Linked DNA regions of Lonchura striata. The protein of the gene in region 1 purifies or fractionates together with the protein of each later gene. This does not show direct contact. Links are inferred from orthologs where the notes say so. Each region holds a gene or a part of one and is shown in the gene's direction. Other genes may lie near its edges.

What was found. Proteins that work in one complex are often made in the same cells at the same time.
Region 2: the proteins of KIAA0232 (region 1) and DYRK1A purify together in Homo sapiens (affinity purification with mass spectrometry; 3 studies listed by BioGRID and IntAct, with this or other methods). This does not show direct contact. The link is inferred for Lonchura striata from reciprocal best matches to the Homo sapiens genes KIAA0232 and DYRK1A.

The regions. Positions count from the first base shown.
Region 1 is NC_134606.1:11,910,255-11,920,586, reverse strand, and holds the start of KIAA0232 (uncharacterized protein KIAA0232 homolog), read left to right. Parts: upstream 1-5,979; 5' UTR 5,980-6,105; intron 6,106-10,332.
Region 2 is NC_134604.1:114,750,207-114,760,569, reverse strand, and holds the start of DYRK1A (dual specificity tyrosine-phosphorylation-regulated kinase 1A), read left to right. Parts: upstream 1-5,059; 5' UTR 5,060-5,176; intron 5,177-5,394; exon of another isoform or gene 5,395-5,688; intron 5,689-10,363. UniProt on the Homo sapiens protein: Dual-specificity kinase which possesses both serine/threonine and tyrosine kinase activities. Exhibits a substrate preference for proline at position P+1 and arginine at position P-3.

The DNA.
Region 1 (10,332 bases):
ATGTGTGGGGGTGTTTTAACACCAAGAAAGCAATTTTTGTTCAGCCATTTAAAGTTATGCCTTCTTTTTTGTTTCTTCACAGTTGATATTGAAATAGTATCAAACTCAAAGGGCAACCCTATTTTAACAACAAAAAAAATCCTAATGAAACCAAAAAACAAGCAGTTTTCATCTCAACAGCAATAACTCTATTGAGAGAAAACACCTTTTTAGCATAAACACATAACCCAGCGTTGGAAAGTGAAGTAGTTTTCTTCCCATTAACAGGTTCCAATGAGTAACTCTTCAAATGAGCATTTAATTTAATTCAGTTAGAATTACAAGCCAAAATATCATGAAATATACTTTTCAGAGCATATCAGTCTAGTTGGAAAATATTGAAATATTAGCTACTTCTTGACAGAAAAATACCCTCTCCTTCTCTCGTGCTGCTCAAATGGTTTCTATTTCAGGCTGACAGCCTTGTAGTCAATCACACCAGATAGAAATCTCTTCCTAGAGCAGCTTTGGAAATGCAGATACTAGAGCTCTGCATGTACTGCCAATTTTTTTTCCCCCCTTAATATCAAAATAGTAGTATATTTGTTTGGGATTCAATACCTGTTTTTAAATGCTGCTTTTTTCAAACTTTTACTTTTTCCCCTCATTGTAATGGCTGCTGGTATTAATCAGCCACTTTTAACAGTTCTTTGATATCTACAGAATGAGTTATTTCTAATGGCAGCACTTCCCAGCTTATCAGTTCTATCAGAAAGCAGCAATGGCCATTTTGCCTTTTGCTCCCACACAGATAAAAAAGTTCACACAAATAAAAATCTCAACATTTTATTATTAAGAACAACAACAATAATCTTCTTACAGTCTGCAAGTCATGTCTACAGATTCCTTCACTTTCAAGTCTCAACTTTCAAACCAAGTTTGAGGGTTTTTTTTGTTTGTTTTAAGCATTTGAAAACATGCAACCTTTTTGCTTTGCAGTTTTTCAGTTTTTTACTACGGGATCAGATAAGAAAATTTTTTGATCAGTCAAAACATAATGTCAAAGTGCCAGGACAACAAGCCATTAATACACAAAGGAATATTTTCTATTACCAGGGTCTTCAACAGTAGATCATCTTAAGAAAATGCTAAGGAAAAGATTAATTGCACCTTCAGTGCAATTGCTTTAATAACTCAATAAAATTTCAAGTGTTTCTTTCACCTGTCATTGTTTATAGATCATTAATAAAGATGGTAGTATATTCATTCCAAAATCTGTGGCCAGATTGCCAGCTATGAGAATGCATTCAACTCTTCAGCATTTTCACTGACTGAGAATATGGTCAATATCTAGGAAAAAAAACAGTGGAATTAATGCAAACAATACCATATCTCTGATGAGCAGGACAAGGATTGGATGCTGATGCTGCAGGCTACTCAAGGATGTTTAATTGTATTCATGAACTATTTGTAAGACAGTGAGCTGCCTAAACCTCACACATTTCCAACATGGTAATTCTAAAATGGCTGTAGTATATAGGAAAAAACAGATGTCATAATGTGTTTCATCTAGTTTAAAACTTAACATGTAATTAACTTAATAGCTTGACAATAGCTGATGTAGAAACAAATATAATGCAATTAAATTCATATCTTATTATGATATAAATTTCTTCTACATATGCATTACAAAAAAGATCAGAATTTGAGAGACTGGTATATTTAATGGTGACTAATGGTCCTTAAAATGCAATTGCATGTAATACTTGCTTTGTATTTCATCACTTGTGAAAATTATTTTATTTCTGTAACACTGTATTTCCTGTAGTCCTTTTAGTACACCACAAGTGAAAGCTATTCCTTGGTGTATGGTTTCAAATGCTGTATCCAGGTATTTGGACCTTAACATTCATTATGTAGTGTAACATTTTCATTTTTTAAATATTTTTAAACTGCTTGGCAGTTTGTCCAAATGGCTACAGACAATTATCATAGTTCTTTATAATTTTCTCTAAGTACTTTTTACTATAGACCTCAGGTAGTCTGTTTTAGGCACACAGCACCATGTTGAGACAGAGTCCTGTTCATGTATTCCTTTGGGCTGTCCAAGGGTTTCTCAAGGTATTATTAGGGTTTCTCAATTGTCAAAGTGCTGCAGGATGAAAAAGGGTAAGAGTAACAATGAAGCCAAATATTTTTTTAAAAAGTAGAGTCATAAAGACATACCAGCACTGAGCCCAGGTTATAGTGATCAAGTTGGATTGAATAGAAAATAAATTTACTTTGAATTATGTAATTGATTTTTCAAATGACTCAGATCTTCCAAGCTCACCACGCTAATGTGCTCCTATTAAAGATATTGAAACCTCTTTGAGAGGACTCTGAAAGGAAAAGAGTTGAACTGTGGCCCAATGAAAGCCCCACTAAAATTCAATGTCACATTCCATCCACTGCAGTAGATGAGGTCCTTGATGGCGACAACAGAGTGGTCCTCTGATTCTGTGGGTATGTAGAGCTTGGTTTTTCACTGCACAGGGATATTATTAGGAAATAGGGATCAGTAAAAAGGAATCTGAAACCTGATCTAGTGCTGAGGAATGCCTTTTGAATGTGTCATTTGAACCGAGTTATTACTTCTGGGAGGTGTGAATGTCTTTGCTTAAAACCTGAAATGGATCCTGAAAAGAAGTAAAAAAGTTAGGCAAGTCTTCACAGAATTAAGAATAGTTTCAAAGAGATAAATATAAGTTTGAATCTGTGCATCAAGATTTCAAGTAAAACTCATCATGAGTCTGTTGGATATTCCCTGTTTCAGCTTACATTAAGGTCCATTTTCTAGATTTTAAAAACACATAACTTTATGTATATATTTAGATCCTGCACATTTAAATGATCTTTTAAGTTCTTGGACTATGTATATTCCCCCACAAATGGTACTGTAGCTGTTTCTAAAATGTTGAATTGGCAGATTTGGCAGATTGCTTTTATCAAGCATTTCATATGAACTGTGAACAAGAGGATTGTCTACTGATTGGTTATCATGACTTTCAAAGCTAACTGATACATAATCCCTGCTCAGGGAAAATCAGGGGATTTTTATTGCATCTACAAGGAAATTTTAGGGAATATTATAAACTGATTTTAAGGAAGAAAGAGAAGGCTGACAATAAAATGCTTACAAGCTGTGGCTATCTAATATGGAACTGCTGTGAAATTTCTCCTTCAGTAGGTTACTTAAGGGAAAAAAATTATATATTATGAAATGGATACATTTTTAAACATTTATTGGAGACCCTCTCAGCAGGGATCACAATGAAAAAGGGAAACAGTGCTACTTGCTGAGGCTGACAGCTAAGGCACAAGTCCATCAGTCACTCAGTTCCGGTTTAGCATTCTTTTCAACACACATCATTTAGCCTTCATTTTCCAAACAAGCGCTGTCACCTACAATGCACACCCACATAGTTGTTCTCAGGGTGAAGGCTGTCACACAGAGGCAAACAGGGTTCCCATAGAAAACTTCCATCTTTGATAGCAACTCAGAAAGCAAAACCCACTGATTGCAGCTCACATGCTCTATCCCCACAGCTTTTTGGAGGAAAAGTTCATTAGCTGCTTTGCATGCCAAGGGACCAGCTGTCCTTCAGCACATGGAGCTACTCTGATTGACCAGGAGGACAAGTGGGAAATAAGCTCACAGCAGTGCCAGCACGGCATATGGTCATGTACCAGCTGTTTCTGAAATGCTTGCCAAATGGAAATAAGAATGGGGTTGGTTGTTAGGAAAATACAAACCCAACAAAACCCAACAAACAAACAAAAAAGTTCTACTGTTGGGATTCCTGTGATCTGACCACAAAACTAGAACTGTCAATTTGACAGTAACTATGTGAATATTCAGAATAATCTGTCATTGGCCTCCATGCTCTGACTTGCTCCATTAGAACACCAACGTTCTGAGCATCTCTTCCTTCTACAAATCTTCAGAGAAAAAATCTTTAGAAAGGGTGAAATACAGTAAGTGGATTTGTATTGATGATATACATTACTAATCCATCAAGGATATGTGTAGAGGACTGTATAGAGATTGATTTAAATTGGTGCCAATTGTTACTACAGACAGATCCCAGGTGCCTCATTTTTAGTGTATCTTATTCTACCTTGAAAAGGGGAATTCAAACACCGAGCTCCTGAACAACAGCAGATTTGATTGTGATTGGCACGAGTTGTGTTACAGCGGTGGTGAAATGCTTCTGATAAACCCGGGGAATGACTCAGCAGAAAACAGTCAGCAGGATTTTTTCCCAAAGCTTTTCAGTTTCAGCTTTTCATAACAAGAAAATAACTTGAACAGTAATTAAACAGTTCAGAGAACAATTCTGTCCTTTTATATCACAGTTTAAAGCACTACTTTCTCTTTAGATTTCTCCAAAAATGCTCCTGCAAGGTTTCGAGAAAGTAACAGATTAACTGCACGTTCATATGACATCAATTATTGCCTCAACGACATTTAAGAGAATGCTGGTAGTTAATGTAGCTACACAATCTTGCATACTTAACTTTTGGCTAGCCTAAGTCAGATTTATGACTAAATTAGGCGCTAAGGATGTTCAAAATTGGCAAACCCTAGCTAAAACAAAAATAAGAATAATGTTGCTCTGTATCAGGAAATGAGTATACAGGCTGGGAGGCAGTGTTTGCATTCATGCTTGTTATGAGATGTATTTTTTATATACAGACTTAACTTGTTGAAAGGCCTAAATGTGGGACCACATCCGGTACTGTGGGATCATGTTTTCAAAGGTAATCTTGGTTCCAGTGACTGAAGATGTGCACAAAAGAAACTGTGTGAGCCAACATGGATGACATACTGCATTTTGGAACTCTAGGAGCCACAGGTTGAGCAGTGAACAAAAGGAAGAAAACCTTATGATTACACAGAGAGAAGACTTACTTTGACATCTTACATAATATTGACTTTCCTCAGGCCCGTATGTGTTCATGCATTTGAGAAATGTGGGGTGGTAGTGTACACCTGAGAAGAGCGTCATTATTTTCCCAATTAAGAAGCTTAATGAGTACTTTGGTGTGTCTTGCCATATTTTCAGCCTTACAGTCGCCCATTTTCACCCATTTACTATGCTAAAAATGTTGCCCTTTCATTACTCCACGGTTGTGTAAACAGTCGTGATTAAACTGGCATTTAATCAATTGGAACAAAATCCCCGTGGCTCCCGAGGAGCTCACCTACTAAACCCGACTTTCAATGGCAACAATCTTCCAACAGACGACTTCCCTTCCAGACGGGCTTTCATTGCGCAGTAAAATAAACTTTTATTTGCTAACCTTGCTCTCGGAGTCGGTCAGGATTTCAAAAGGACCTCACATGACAAACACCGCTACGCTCCATCATTATCCCCCGCTCCCTCCCTCGCGTTCCTGCGCCGGCGCTGCCGGGGTGTTCCCCGCCGGCGGCACAGCGCTCCGAGGGGCGCGGGTGCTCCGGCCGCGGCTCCCCGCCGCCCGCCCGGTGCCGTCCCAGCGCCTCGCCCGCCGCCTCCCTCCTCCGGCGGCCGGCACGGCGCTGCGCCGGCGGGCGGGAGGCTGTACAACCAGGGCAAAGGACGCTTCCCCTCCTCCCCCCGCCCTTCCTGCGCCGCGGCCCCGACATGAAGGCGGCTGGCCGGCGCCCGGGCGCTAAGGCCGACGGCAGAGATAGGGACAGGGATGGGGAGCCGGGACGAACAGACCGCCCCGGTTCTCCCCGCCTCCCGCCCACCGGTGCGGTGGTCGCCAGCCCTCCGCACCCTCCCGGCGCAGCCCCGCGGCTCTGGGATCAGGGCCGCCCTCTGGGCGGAGGGATACGGGGCGGAGCTGGCGGCACGGTCCGCCGGGGCGCTGAGTCCCGTTGCCGGGTGACGGAGCGGCCGGCCCGGCCCCCTCCCTCCCTCCTTCCCTCCCCGTGGCGCTGGAACCGCCGCCGCCGCCGGTTTACGTAACGCCTCCCGGGGCAGGTCCCGGCTCCGTCCCGCCCGCCTCACTCGGGGACGGCAGCAGCGGGACGGAGTCCGCTGCCTCCTCCGGCTGCCAGAGGCCCCAGGGCCCCGCTCTGCGCCACCACGGCAGGTAAATGCCCGCCGCGGGCCCGGGGAGCAGAGGGAGGGGCAGGGCTGAAGGGAGGGAGGGAGAGCGGCAGCCGCCCTGCCCGTGGAACGGGAGGACGGAGCCGGGAGGCGGCGGCGGGCGCCCTTCCCCTCCCCCGCTTCCTCCCCACCGCTGCGTTGGGACAGGCGGGCTGGAGCCCCGGGAGCGCCGGGCCGGCGGCGCGGGGCCCGGCCGGGAAGGCCCGCGCATCCCTGCCCGCTCCGCTAACAGCCCGGCGAGAGGAGGAGTGGCGGGGCCGGGCCTGGTCCCGCCGGGAGGACGGTTTCCCGGGACGGCGCGTCCCGCTCCTGGGCTGCGCAGGACGGCGGGAGCGAGCCGGGGGGCGCGGGAGGAAGGGGCCGGGGAGGGGGTGACAGGAGCGCCGGGGGCCGGGCGGGGGGCGGCTGCCGGCCGGCGGCGGGCAGGGCTCGGGGGCGGGGCCGGGGGCCCGGCCGGGGTGCCCCGGTCAGAGCGCTGCCCGGGAGGGGCGCCGAGCCCTCCGCGGCTGCCGCCGACTCCCCCTCTTCCATCCCGGCGGGACCTGGCGCCAGGTGAGCGGCTTGTGCCGCGGCCGGGAGGGAGGCGCCAGCCTGCAGCGGGAGCAGCGGCTCGGTGCCCTCGGGCTGGGTCACGCCCGGGAGCAGAGGAGGAGAAGGAGGGAGGGAAAGGCGGCACCCAGCACCCACCCGCCGCGGGTGCCGGCCCCCGCCGGTGTCATCCGGCGCCAGCAGACGGCAAAGCGGAGGATGCGGCGGTTCGGGTCGGGGTAGGGAGATCCTGAGCCGGGCAGCGCCTCGCCTGCCCCGCCTGCCCCCGAGGTTGAGGTGACGGGGTTGCGCCGCTGCCGGGCCCGGCTGGTGCTCATGCCGTGACCTTTCATCCTGCGCGGGCGTTCAGCGCACCGGGGAGGGGGAGCTGGGGACGGGCTGGGGCCGATGGAAACCGCCCCGGCTGAGCCGCGGCGTTACAGCGCTGCCTCGGGGGCCGATCTGGCGGGGCTCGCTCCCCTCTTCTTTTTTTTTTTTTTAATTTTTAAAATTTTTAACAAATATTTTTTCCCCTTGAAGCAGCATTGTCCTTTAGGGCCTATTGAAGGCAAAAGGCGGATAGGAAGGCTAGGGCTGCTGCTGTTTGAGGAGGCGGAGCTGGGCTGATGGGAGACTGACGGGAGCCGCATCCTATGGGCGCTGCGAGCCGGGCGCCGCTGGGGCGGGACCGCCGGCCGCGGCCTCTCGCGGGCGATGGGCGGGGTGGGGGACAAGGTTTGGCGAAGGTTACAGCTGAATGCAGAAGTGACACAAACTGACACTTCGCTCCAGCAAACTCCTTTCCCTCTTCTCTTCGTGTCGTCTCGACTAAAAGTATACACGTATTGAGTCGTGTTATGAAACTTTGAGAAAAACGAAAGTGCGGTGCTTTTTTTCCTGTCTCGTCTTTGTTTTAATTACTCGTTGCAGTACCTGATACTGATCTGAAGGGTAAAAATGTTTGTCCTTCGTTTCAAATAAAACACGTTCCTGTATTCTGTTTTTTTTCTGTGTATAAGTGATTTGGGCAGTAATTTATAAGCTTGAGATCGGAGGCCTCTGTGGTATGTGTAGTTGCTTTTCTTCATTCAAACCCTTTAAAATGTTTATGGTTTCTCTTGTACACCATATATTCCTGGAATGAAGTGGGAATTGCCGATTGACTTTGGTTTCTTAGCTGTCAAAAGTGAACTCATCATGATTCAGTAGATAATTGTGTAAAACAAAGTACTTCACCGCAGTGCTTAAACCCTAGGTATTGCAAACTCCTCACAATCCATGGAAGTCTGTAATTGACATTTTTCTTTATTATTTAAGACAAAAATATGCCTTACAAAAGTAAATGACATGGAACTTGATTGTTACTTGACATGTAACTGTACAGATTTTATTTTGTACTAATCCTCCATCTGCTGTGTCTTGTTAGTATGGATATGCTAAAATGGTAGTGTACAATCATTCTAGTCAGTAAAGCATACCATATAGGTATCAAAATCTTCTCTTTTCATCATTGAGATATAAAAGGGGATGTGACTTGAATAAAATTAGTAGTATGTTATATATTCATGATGTTATTTATTTTCAAATACTTGACAATTATGGGGGAAATCCAGAGACAGGCCATTAAATGCCTCAGCAGCGTATATCCCCACCATGTTCTGCTTGACAGATATTAACACGTGTACAGTGACAGAACTTTATCCATCTGTTTGGAGCACCACTGGGATTAAGACCCTTTGAGGCCACACTTTCTGCAAATTTGGATTAAGTATATGACCCTCCAGCTTTAGTGCTCATGAGCAGTGGAATTGGAAGGAAAATAAAGGTCAGAGAGATCCATATGACCCAAGAAGAAAAAATGGAGGCCCTGAACTTACCTTATTATGCCTGTTTCATGGGCATATTTCAGCTTTCCCCTCTGCTTTTTTTGTTGCTATTTGTGATTCTTCCAAGTAAGAGAAATTCCAGAGGGGTAAAATGATGTCACCAATTTCCTTTGCTCATTTGCTGTGCATTCTAGCAGGAATAGGGTCAGAAGAACTAGATACTGTTCAAAACTTCATTATTTGTTCTTCTTGAGCATCTTGTTTCTAGGCAGATAGGGGGAATGAAGCAGCCAAGAGGTTGCACAGGTGAATTTTCTTGAAGGATTTTACTGGGTTTTAGGCATAGTGTTGTACAGTCAGAATGGACGCTTTATATACTTAGCTGGAGTCCTAGCACAATCATGTCTCAGTTTGCTGCTTCTTTAAGCAATAGCTAATAACTAAAAGTGACAACTTAGTACTATAATAGGATAGGCAACAATGTCTGGTAAAGCAGAATGTGGTGAAGGCAGTAAGACTTAAATTCCTGTAGAGTTAGCAGGAAATATTCCCATTATCTGCATTGCTAGTGGAGCTTGGAATACAAATGATCTTGTAGAAGGTATTTAATATGTTCTGTTTATTGGGATAGTCTGTTTTTAGGATATTCTTCTGTCTCATGGAACAGAGATTGGTATCCTTCATTTTTGCCCAAGAAAAGTGACAGGCTGGTTGGATAATTTGTAAATGGAATTGCAGAAATAAGTTGTGTTGTCCATCCCCATAGTCCTGCCCCAGGAATTTTTTTTCAACTAATGTCAATCACATATTACAAAAGAAAAATGTTCAAATGAGTACTGATGTGCTCAGTGATGTTTCGATACACAGACAAAAGGAAAATTGTCTGATTGGAAGGAAAATTATGTTTTTTTGTTAATTTGGAAATAGTTTATTAGATTTTTCTAATCAGAAGTACTACATAACTGTGGGAATGTCAGAATGTTTTAGTCGAAAAATATCTATATGGGCTAGTTACAATATTTTTACTAAAAAGCATCTTGCTCTACTTTCTTAAAGTTGTTTGGGTACATTTTTAATGGATATTAAGAGATTGAATGAGTATTTTATTGGCCCATAGAGGTGGTTGGGGATGAGGGGAAGGGTTCAGTCTCTTAAACATTCAGTACAAAGATTATTCTTTCACAGACATCTTACTAGCAGCTATTTCTGTAGCTTTATTGGAAGCTACTGAGTATTTAAATTTTTTAATTATCTACTTCCTTTATCATTTCATATGCAGGATGTTTGGATCTACCTGCATAATACTGTACATTGTTTGTTTTGTTTCTGCATCTAAATTCTGTTCATAACTTTGATACCAAAGAGGACATATGGAACCTGTCTTTCCAAGAGACTAATTTCTGAGACAGTAGTGTGGAAATTTAAATAATGAAGTATTTAAATTAATTTTTCACTCTTGTGATATTATATGTAATATTTTAATTCTTTTAGTGTGGAAATATAAATTATGATGTATTTAAATTCATTTTTTTAGTTCTGATATTACATGTAATTTTAGTTATATCCTGTTAAGTCTGTGCTCAGGCTTGCTGTAGTGATTTTAATTTTTAATACAATTTGGGGAATGTTTAAATTTCTGGGTTATGCTGTATCGTGAGGAAGAAATTTCAAATATGCAGTCCATGCTAATGTTACTTGTGGCTGTAACTTTCTAGGCCTTATTCTAGAAAGGATTGCATGTGAAAATTTATACTCTGTGCAAAAAGGTCTGTTAATAAATAAAAATAAGTTGTAACAGGGATGAAATATGAATAATTCTGTGGAGTTTTTACAGCTTTAAAAAATCTTCCTCTAGT
Region 2 (10,363 bases), on another chromosome or scaffold:
TTTTTTTTGGGAATAAGCCTTATCCAGCAGCAATTCCAGGACCTTCTGGTCCAGAGGCGTGCCATCCTACACGATGTGCAGCTCTGGCTGTCAATCCAAAGCCGGTACTATCGAAGCCGGCTCTGATGATGACTCAAAAGCTGATCTATCTCCATCCGAATGGGTTACCATGGCAACCCCTCTGGCCTAAAAAGAGCTGGACCACATTAGTTACTTAGCAGCACCTTTTTGACAGGCGAAACACAAGCTGCTCCCTCCAGATGATGGTTTCGTGTGGGACTGAGGCTGTCTGGGAGCTGCCACAGTGCTCTGGGAAGTGTTGATGATGTAACCCATGCAGGAGAACTTCTGCTGGGACTTCACTTGGAGTTGAGGCTCAGCACCAAAGGAATTGAGCTGTGTGGTGGCTTTGGTGGAGAAACACAACAGCAGAATCTATTGTGATGGAATTCTTCCTGAAGATCTTCCAGCTTGGGTCTGGTGACATAAGAAGGCCCCTCTTGCAGTGGGGTACAGAGGATTATTGGAATTGCTGCTGGTCCAACACAGCATCTACATCAAAACTTGAACTCAAAACACAAATGTTGAATCCTGGAAAAGTCAGGCTGCCCATAGTTGCTGAGAAGGAAGTCTGGAGTTCAGGCAGAACTGGAAATGCTCCAGGAGGAAAACTGCAGGGCTACAAGGGCGGGTTGGATCAGGGAATGAAGCCTTCCAGAGCACACAATGATGAGGAAAATGGGCCCCTCTTCTCCATGAAGGAAGGCTGGAAAGGGAAAAAATGGGACATATTACCCATAATCACACTCCACTGCCATAGAATCATAGTTTGGATCAGAAGGGACATTAAAAACCATCCAGTGCCATCCCTGCCATGGCAGGGACACCTCCCACTGTGCCAGGATGCTCCAATCTCCAGTGTCCAACCTGGCCTTGGGCACTGCCAGGGATCCAGGGGCAGCCCAGGGCTTGCCCACCCTCCCAGGGAACAACTTCTTCATATACCTAACCTGCAATTCCCCTCTTTCAGTCTGAAGTCACTCCAGTTCCTGATGAATTGTCCCTCTACAACTTCTCTGTAGCCCCTCAGACACTGGAAGGTGCTGTGAGGTCTCCACACAACCCTCTTCTCCAGGCTGAACAATCCCAACTCTTCAGCTGTTTTGTTGTTTCTTTTACATCTATTCCATTTCTCTAGACTGCTGTATGTTATTTTCTCACTTAGAGCTAATTTCTCCACTCTTTCCTCCTCATTTTCAATGTGCTTTTATCTTATTTTTTCTCAATTTTTCTGCTTATTATTGGGTTTTTTGACCCCAGATATTCTGCTTTCTGAGGGGTGGTCTCTTAGGAAAAGACATCCAAGTATTTCTTACAAGCCTGTCCACTAATTCATATACACAATGTTCACAAACTCCTGTTTTCAAGTACTGCAAACCTACTCCAGGTGGATTGTGATGGAGAGTTTAAAAAAAAAAAAAAAAAAAAAAAAAGGACTCTCAAGTCTTTCCTGTCTTGGCAGTCCCTCCCTTCCTAAACAAAATAAAAAGGAGTAAGTTTTGATAATTTTTGATAAGCAAGAACTTGGATTCCCTTCATCCAGGCCCCAACTCGTGTGCAAAGTTTCCAGGTGAGGCAGGATGCTGGTGGAATCCCAGCCTGGAGGATCCCTAACCCGAGCCCCAAACCTCCAGCAGAGAACACAAGTTCAGTTCCTGACAACCCTTTCCAGGAAGAAATTCCTCCTGATGTCCAACCTGAACCTCCCCTTGCCTTTTAATGAAATGGATATTGAAGAGAACACTTTTGTACAAGGGAAGAACCATGCAGGTTATTCATTATCCAGATAAAATTAACAAGCCAAAAATATCTAGATGTTTGTGCTGAAAAATAACATTTTAAAAAGATGCCATCAACTTTTAAAGGACATTTTTTTCTCTGCCCAAGGTGCCAGAGCCAGCAAAATAAAAGTAGAGGATGACTGAGCAAATGCAAAACCTATTGAAAACTCTGTAATATTTTTAAGTGTTAGCAAAAAAACTCCTCAAAACCTGACAAAAACCCCAAACCCCAGGAAGTTACAGTAATGCAGTGAACAGTGTAACAAATTTCTGTGAGTTTTGAAGTTACCTACATTGAGAAACAGAGAAACTCTTCTGTCACTGCACTCACACAGACCAGAAAGAGATTTTAGAGGGAAAAAATCCTCAGGGAATGCCCCCTTGCTCCTCTTTGGGAGCGAAGCTGTCCTTCCTGACTGAGGGACTGGGCAGAGGTTGGCCTTTGAGATCTTGGAATTGTCCACCTTGGAAGAGCCCTCCAGGATCATCCAGTGCCACCAGCATCACCCAAACCCTGTCCCCAAGGCCACATCCAGACTCCTCTGGGACAATTCCAGTGACTCCAAACCTCCCTGGGCAGCTCATCCCAAGGCTTGACCACTCTGCCAGGAAGAATTGGGGGAAAATTTGTTTTCAGTCTCCAACCTGAGCCTCCCCTGGTGCCATTTGAGGCCGTTCCCTCTCCTCCTGTCCCTGTTCCTGGAGCAGAGCCCGACCCCCCGGCTGTCCCTTCCTGGCAGGAGCTGTGCAGAGCCACAAGGTCCCCTTGAGCCTCCTTTGCTCCAGGCTCAGCTCCTTCCCAGCTCCCTCAGGAACTCTCCAGCCCCTTCCCAGCTCCCTCAGGAACTCTCCATTCCCTTCCCAGCTCCCTCAGGAACTCTCCAGCCCCTTCCCAGCTCCCTCAGGAACTCTCCATTCCCTTCCCAGCTCCCTCAGGAACTCTCCAGCCCTTTCCCAGCTCCCTCAGGTGTTGCTTTCCACATCCCAGGACAAGAGCCACATTCTGGCCATGCTCAGAGTCGACGAGAGAAGTGTCAAAAGCAGCTCCAAGTGACCACAAATCCTTCTGGGGCTGAGGGGAATGAGAAAGGATCACTGAAATCACGGTGCCCCCAAGTACCTCCCAGGGCTGGAAGGTGCAGTTCCATAGATAATTTCAACTCACCTAACACCTCTCTGTCACTCCTGGGGTGGCCCCGCGATTTCCCTCCTCTGCCCTGTGCACCCCTGTCCCTGGAGAGGGACTTTTCACAAGGGGTGAGAAGATAAACAGGGATGGATTTAAGCTGAGAAAGAGAGGTTTAGATGGGATATCAGGGAGAAATCCTTCCCTGGGATGGAATTCCCAGAGCAGCTGGGGCTGCCCCTGGATCCCTGGCAGTGCCCAAGGCCAGGTTGGATTTGGGGCTTGGAGCAGCCTGGGAAAATGGGAGGTGTCCCCATGGCAGGGGTGGGATGAGATGATCTTTACAGTCCTTTCCACCCCAACCCAGTCTGGGATTGTGTGATCACACAATGTAAGTAAAATTCTCAACACTTCAATTATTTGGGGGGCTTTGGCTTTGGCTGCATCCGTTCTGCCAATCCTTGGCTGCTTATTTCAACCTTTTAAGCCAAGATAAAAAAATAAAAAAAAATTAAAACAGGAAGAAAAAGCAAATGGAACATGTAACATGTCCTAATTTCTCCAAGGAGGCTGGCTAGGAAATGAAATTACTAGATTAAAGTATCACACGTCAGAATTAAAGTATTAGATAAAGGCCAGACTCTACTTTTTGATCCTTGTGGGCATTCCAGAAACTAAAAAAAAAAAAAAAAAAAAAAAGAGAAAAAAAAAAAGAAAAAACCCAAACCAAACCAAAAAAACCCCCTTAAAAACCTCGTCACAGATTTAGGCTGGAAACACCAATCCAGCAGTTCCGAGGGGAAAGGAGCATTCTGTCAGCAGCTCGAGGCTCCCACACTGGGCTACTTATAGTGCATATTTTAACTCATTTTTTGAGAAATATATTGATTTTTTGAGGGGGGATGTGGAAGACCCCATGATGCAATTCCAAGGGGAAAAGAGCCTTTTATTCTGTGATTCCCTCAGCACCTTAAGGCTCCCACACCAAGCTACTTTTAGTGCATTTTAAAACTCATTTTGGGGGAATATATTGATTTTCAGAGGGGGGTGAGAAAGACCCCTGGATGCAATTCTGAGGGGAAAGGAGCTTTGCCTCAGCAGCTTGAGGCTCCCACATCTAACTCACTTCTGGGGGAATATACATATATATATTTTTTTTTTTTCTGATGAGAATTAGAAAAACCCTGGACAGAATTTCAAGGGGAAAGGAGCCTTCTTCCCTCAGCAGCTCAAGCCTCCCACACCGGGTGACTTTTAGTGCGTTTTAAAACTTGTCTTGGGGAAATACAGATTTTTTCCAGGGGACAAGGAAGACCCCCGGATGCAATTCTGAGGGGCAAGAAACCTTCCAGAACCCTGTGACTCCCCAGCAACGCCGGGTCTCCCACAGGGACGACTTTTAGCGCATTTCCCAACTCGTATTTTTTTTTTTTGGGGGGGGTGATATTTTTAAGCGTGTCGAGAAAAACGCGCGGACGCAATGCCGAGGGGAGCCTTCCCTCAGCGGGTTCAGGCACTTTAAGCTCCTTCCAGAGCGTTTTTTGGACGGTTTTTTGGGAACGCCTGGCGTCCCGCGCCCGGCCCCGCCGCTCCCCACAGGCGGCGGGCGGGAAGCCCCGGCGGGCTCGGCCTCGCGCTCCCGGCGCCCCCTGCGGGCCGGGGCCGGCGCCGCCTCAACCGCCGGCTCCCCCTTCACCGGCAATGGCGGCCGCTCTCCTTCCCCGCCCCGCCGGGGCCATCCCGGCCCGCAGCGCCGCCGACACCGTCACACGCCGGAGGGCGGGCGGGCATGGATCAGGAAAGAGGGGGGGAAGGAGCCGTTGCCATGGCGAGAGCGGCCCGCCCTTGCTTCCCCACGTCAGCGCCGTCTCCCGCCCGGCCGCGGGTGATTGACAGTTGCCACGGCAACAGGCTCGCCCCCGCCGCCATTTTGTCAGTTGGGTTTTTTTTTTTTAAATTTAAAATTATTTTAAAAAATTAAAATAAAATAATAATTTAAAAACCCCAAGAGCAAATAGCTCCATTTCCGCCAGAATCTCGGGGGGGTTATTATTTTTTTTTAAAGTTTATTTTTTTCTTCTCCTTCCTCCGACCTCCACCGCGAAAGGAAAAGGAAAAGAAGGGACGCAAAAAAAGTGCGCTCCGAGGGTCCCGCCGGGGATGCGCGGCCGGGCTTGAGGCGGCGGCGGCGGTGCGGGAAGCGAAGCCGGTTCGTGAGGAAGAAGGGAGGGAGGGAAGGAGGAGCGGGCGGGGAGGGAGGGAGGGGGAGGAGGTAGCGGCTGGCAGGCGGGGGAGGGAGGGAGGGAGCGAGGAGTTCCCGGGGGCTCGGTACGGCGCTGCGCTTCCCCCCATCCCCTCCTCCTCCTCCTTCTCCTCCTCCTCCTCCTCCCGCTCCTCCCGCTCCCCCCGCCGCTGTCCCCGCGCTCCCGGCCGGGGCTCAGGCCGCCGATCGCAGCCGAGCCGAGGCGAGGCCGAGCCGCCGCCGGGCGCTGCGCAGGTTTGGACCGCGCGCCATTTTGTGAGGGCAGCGAACAGCCAGAGCCCGGCCGGGGACCCGCCGGGCCGCCCGGGCTCCCCTTCCCCACCGCGGGCAGAGCCGCGGCCCGAGGGAGGAGGAGGCGCCGCCGCCGCCGCCGAGGCCCCCGGGGAAGAGCGGGAGGACGAGCCCGGCACTCGCCCCGCGGAGGGAGAGGCCTCGCCCCGGGAGAAGCCGCCGCACGGGTGAGTGAGACGCCGCGCCGCGGGACGAGCCGGGGCCGCCTCGCCCGGGCCCGCGGCGGAGGGGCCGCAGCGCTTCGCTGCCATCTTAGAGCGGGAGCGGCGGCAGGGCCGGGATCCATCCCCGCCCGCCCCGCCGCAGCCCGCGGCCTTTTTCCCCTTGGAGCGCGGCTGTGGCTTGCCGGGCCTTGGGAGCGGCGATGGAGGAAGGGAGCTCGCCCGGAGCCTCTCGGTGTTATGCGCAACGCCCTGCGGTGGGCGGGTGCGAGGGCTCGGGCCGGGCTGGCGGCGAGGAGGGCGGCAGGACTCGGAGCATCACCTGTTGTAGGGGAGGATTGGGATGCCCCCGGCACCTGTGAGGGGCCGGTGGGGCGGGTGGGGAAGGTGCAGGGAGATGGGGAAGGAGTTACCTGAGCGAGGTGCCTGTCATCCCTTCGGTGGGGGTGGGGAGGAGGAGGGAGCAGCGTTGGGAATAGACACAGGGACACGCAGGGACACACAGGCACAGGGACAGGCAGGGACACACGGGCGCTCCTCGGGGAGGTGGCGGAGGCACCGTCCCCGGAGGTCTTTAAGGAAAGGCTGGACGTGGCTCTCGGTGCCATGGGCTGCTTGACAAGGTGGCCGTAGGTTGGACTCGATGATCTCGGAGCTCTTTTCCATCATTAATGATTCCCTGAATCCGTCTTTTAGTAGCTGGCCGCGGCCTTTTAGGGATTCAGCTTTGTGTTGTGGGGAGGAATTGGGGCTCCTCTCGGATGCACTGGGTGCTCCTCTGGAGTGGCCAGAGTTCCCTCCCGCCGCCGTGGGATCACAAAACGCGTTTTAAAGTCCTGGAATTGGAAATTTAGAAATTGGTGTGGTTTTGGATCTCAGTCGGCTTTGAAGCTTGGGGTTTAGCCCCTCCAAAGACCAGGTAGGGCTTCTTTGATCATGTTTCTAGATTGCTGCTGTTACTTAGTTCTCCTATTACTCCACAGCCATCGAGGGAAATTAACATTTATTGTTATTTAGAATCAACAAAGGCAGAGTAACTCGCTACAAAATAAATCGACAAGCGTGTTTTTGACAGCCATCCTGGTTGAATCCGAATGAGTGTGTGGTGTTAATTTCTGCCAGGAGGTCCTTGAAGTCACACTGAGGTGGATGGAGTTTCATGGGGGCCCGGATTTGAACAAGTTAACAACTTTTTTTATTATCTTCTTGGTGTTTCCTTACCTTTTCTTCAAGAAAGGTGTGTGAAGTCAAAGAACACATAGATGATATCTGGTGATAAATCAGCAAACATTTAATTTCTGGTAGTACTCAATTCTTTGCTTGTAACCAAGCAGAATTTAACTTCCCTCCTTGGAATAGTCTGTAGCCCTAAAAAGTTTTGGTAAACTTGTTTCTCTCTTTCTCCACGCCGCCCTTCCCCCAACCTCTGTAGGTTGGATATTTTTGGAAAATTAATTATACTTTATAGAATTAGTATAATAACACTGAAAATAACTCTGAGCTAGTATTTGTTAACTATTATCTATATATATTTGGTGTGTGTATATATAGATACTTTTGTAGGCTATGCTTCTTGTTTTTGGCTTACATGAATTATTTAGAACTAGACTTTTTATTTGCAGTCTGAAGTAGAATATGTGTGTGAAGTGTTAAATTTACATTTTTTGCTGTGAATTAAAAATTCCATCCAAGTTCATGAAGCTTTTTGAGTTTAATTCATGGCTTTGGAATATTCCTTGGGTGAAGCAAGTATATCTTGTTCAAAACTGAAAGAGCCAGCAGGGTTTTCCTAAGCCAGGAGGGCAATAGGTCAAGAGTTTGATATTGTTTCCAAGCTTACAGGTAGGGTTGGTTACAGGAGCGAGCGTTACAGTTCCTGCATCAATACTTGGATGGATTTGGGACTTGTCATTGGCATCCCCTCCCCCAGCTGGACAGTGACAAGGATAATTTTACCTCATAGCAGCCAAGAGTTCTCCCTTTCAGTGCAGGATTCCCTTCCTGGTGTGAAACAAGCAGGGACTCACGGGGAATTTATCCAGTTTGGGAGTCTGGGGGGTTGTGCAGGGTGGGAATGAACACCTGAGGGCCGTAGGAGACTTTTGCAAAGTGGCTGATAGTTCAAACAAAGCTGCAGAGCACCTCTGGTGTCCGGGAAAAACTCTGCCTTGTCCGAGCTTTTCAAGTGACATTTAATTAGGACAGACTTGCTTACATGTGCCACATCTTAAAGTCACTGGACCACCTGCTCAGATGGTATGTGAAAAGAATAAACACACAAAACCGGAGCTTTTATTTGCCATGCAGGCATTTCACAGCTTCTTCTGAGCTCGAATGGGTGCTGCTCTGAAGACTAAAACCTACTGGTACCAAAAAAAGCACTTTTTGTTGCTATAATTAGATTATCTTTTGGGAATTCCTCTGAAAACCTGTTCATTTCAGGTGTTTTTAAGCCTGGCTGTGGGACTGCAGGTTGAAAGTTGTGTGGCTGTTTGTGGTTTTGGGTGAAAATTGCAGCCTGGTATCGGTTTAGCCTTTCCATGGTCATTTTGCATGCCATTTGGAGAACTGTTCTCCATATTAAAGTACAAAACTTTCTGATACCTTTATATTATGGGAGTTGTATAACTTCTGAAATCCTTTTGTAAATAGATCTGTTGTTGTAGGATAGGATTATTTACAGAGAACTGCTGCTTTTGTCTTTATAACTGAATACAATACATTATTTGTTGAGTTTACAGTTTCATCTCTGCAAAGAGGTTGATAAGAAATACATTTTTGCAAAAATTATGTAATAACTTTCTGGCTACACAGACTCTGATGTTTATGCAATGAGAGTTATTGTTTGTTCTAAGACTTTTTTTTGTTATTTGGTTTTTTTTTTTTTTTTATTATTTGAACGAATACCAAAAACCTCTCTGGGTGAACTGCTTTTCTTGTGAGCCTCTGAGGGGAGAAAGAAGTAATCAGGAGAAGGGGAATGCTCTTCCTTTCCATCCTCACCTCCATGGGTCCTTCAGGAAGAGGCTTATGGGAACTGTAGTCTTTGGATGCCTTAAAAATGCCAGAGAAACTTTGGAAAATCAGGAATGGTTACTTCCACAAAGGCATGTTCCATTTGTGGAGTTCTCCAGTGCTGGCTCTTCAAGGTGACACAATATACCAGTAGAATTGTAGTGATTATCTATTGTTTTATCCACCTTTTCCTCCTTTGGGGAAGGAAGGTAAAATTCTGCATTTAATTCTCATTTATCCCAGAATGACTGGAAAAATAACTGGACTGCTTTTTCTGGTACCAATGGATTTCATTCTGTCAGAGCAGGGTTCTGCTTTGTCCTAACCCTTGGTATGGACCACTTTGAAGAGTATTGGCTTTATCATCTCCTTATTTATTCCAAAGTGTCCTGTCCTTGTGATTTTTGGGGAGAATCCCCACTGAAGGGCCAGGGAAATGTGGGAGACAACTCCCAGTCAGCCCTGCCTGCATCCATACAGTGGGAAAACTCTGGTGCTGCTTCAAGCCCCTGTATGAAAACGGAATCAGTGAAATCCCAGCTCTGAATTTTGGAAAAGCAGGGAAATACTTCTGTAACTGAAACACCGCGAGCTGACATCTATTTGTAAACATTCTCCATGCAAAGCTTCCAGGTCTGGGTAGCACCAAGTACCTCAAAGTGAAACAGTAAATGAAAGGAAAATTAACTCTATTAAGTGTCAGTTACGATCCAGCTGTGAGAGACCAAGCTTTCAATTGCTGTTACATAAAGTTCCAAAGACTCCTGGTATTCCTTTCCCCCCACCCCCTTTTTCTTTTCCCCCGGAGGCAAATAAAAATAGACTGTGTTGTGAGTCAATTTAAGGAATAGTTAATAATACATTAATACTTCTTTGTGTTGAAAAGTTTCCTCTTTCTTTTTGGTAACTGTTTTGGATGGTGAAATAAGAGTGGGATGGAAATGTATAAATTGATTTCTGATGGAAGAGTCATTCCTTCAAAAAATAATGGGAAAAAAATGAGACTGAATTTTGTCGAGTTACTGGAAAAAATCAAATTAGTAGGATGACTAGTTCACAAAAGCATAAGTAAATAACTTTAATAATTAAATTGAACTTGTTAGTGAAACTTTTAAATCTTAGTGTTCCAAAAACCTGTTGTTCACTGGGTTTGTGGTTTCTTGAGTGCAAACACATTTCATTTCAAATCCCCTATCCCTGTGAGTGTTCAGCTCGTGATTTGTGCTTCTGTGAACATCATAAATTGCTAATAACTCATTTACTGTGGTCTTGTTGGAACATCCAGCATCTCCTTTACAGAGGGAGCAGTTTTGTGCCCCTGGTATCACTTTGAGTTAAAACTCGAGGAAGGGTTAAAAGAGGAGAGAAATCTTGTCAGGGAAGTGAATGTGTTGGTACTTCCTCAGTCCTGCATTTTCCTGGTCACTGAGAGTTCCCTCACACTGATCTCTGCCCTGTCAGGTTGTAACTACAGCTTTTCCCTACTTACAGCTGTAGAACCACATGTATTCCTCTTTTAAACTGCAGTTTGAACAGGACTTACACATTAAATACACAGAGGGGGTGTGTGTGGTCACAGACAAATCAGTTTCCATACACTCTTTCAAACTCTGATTGATACTGGAAGCTCAGTAACTTTCCAGGATCATGTCTGATTCTGGCTTCT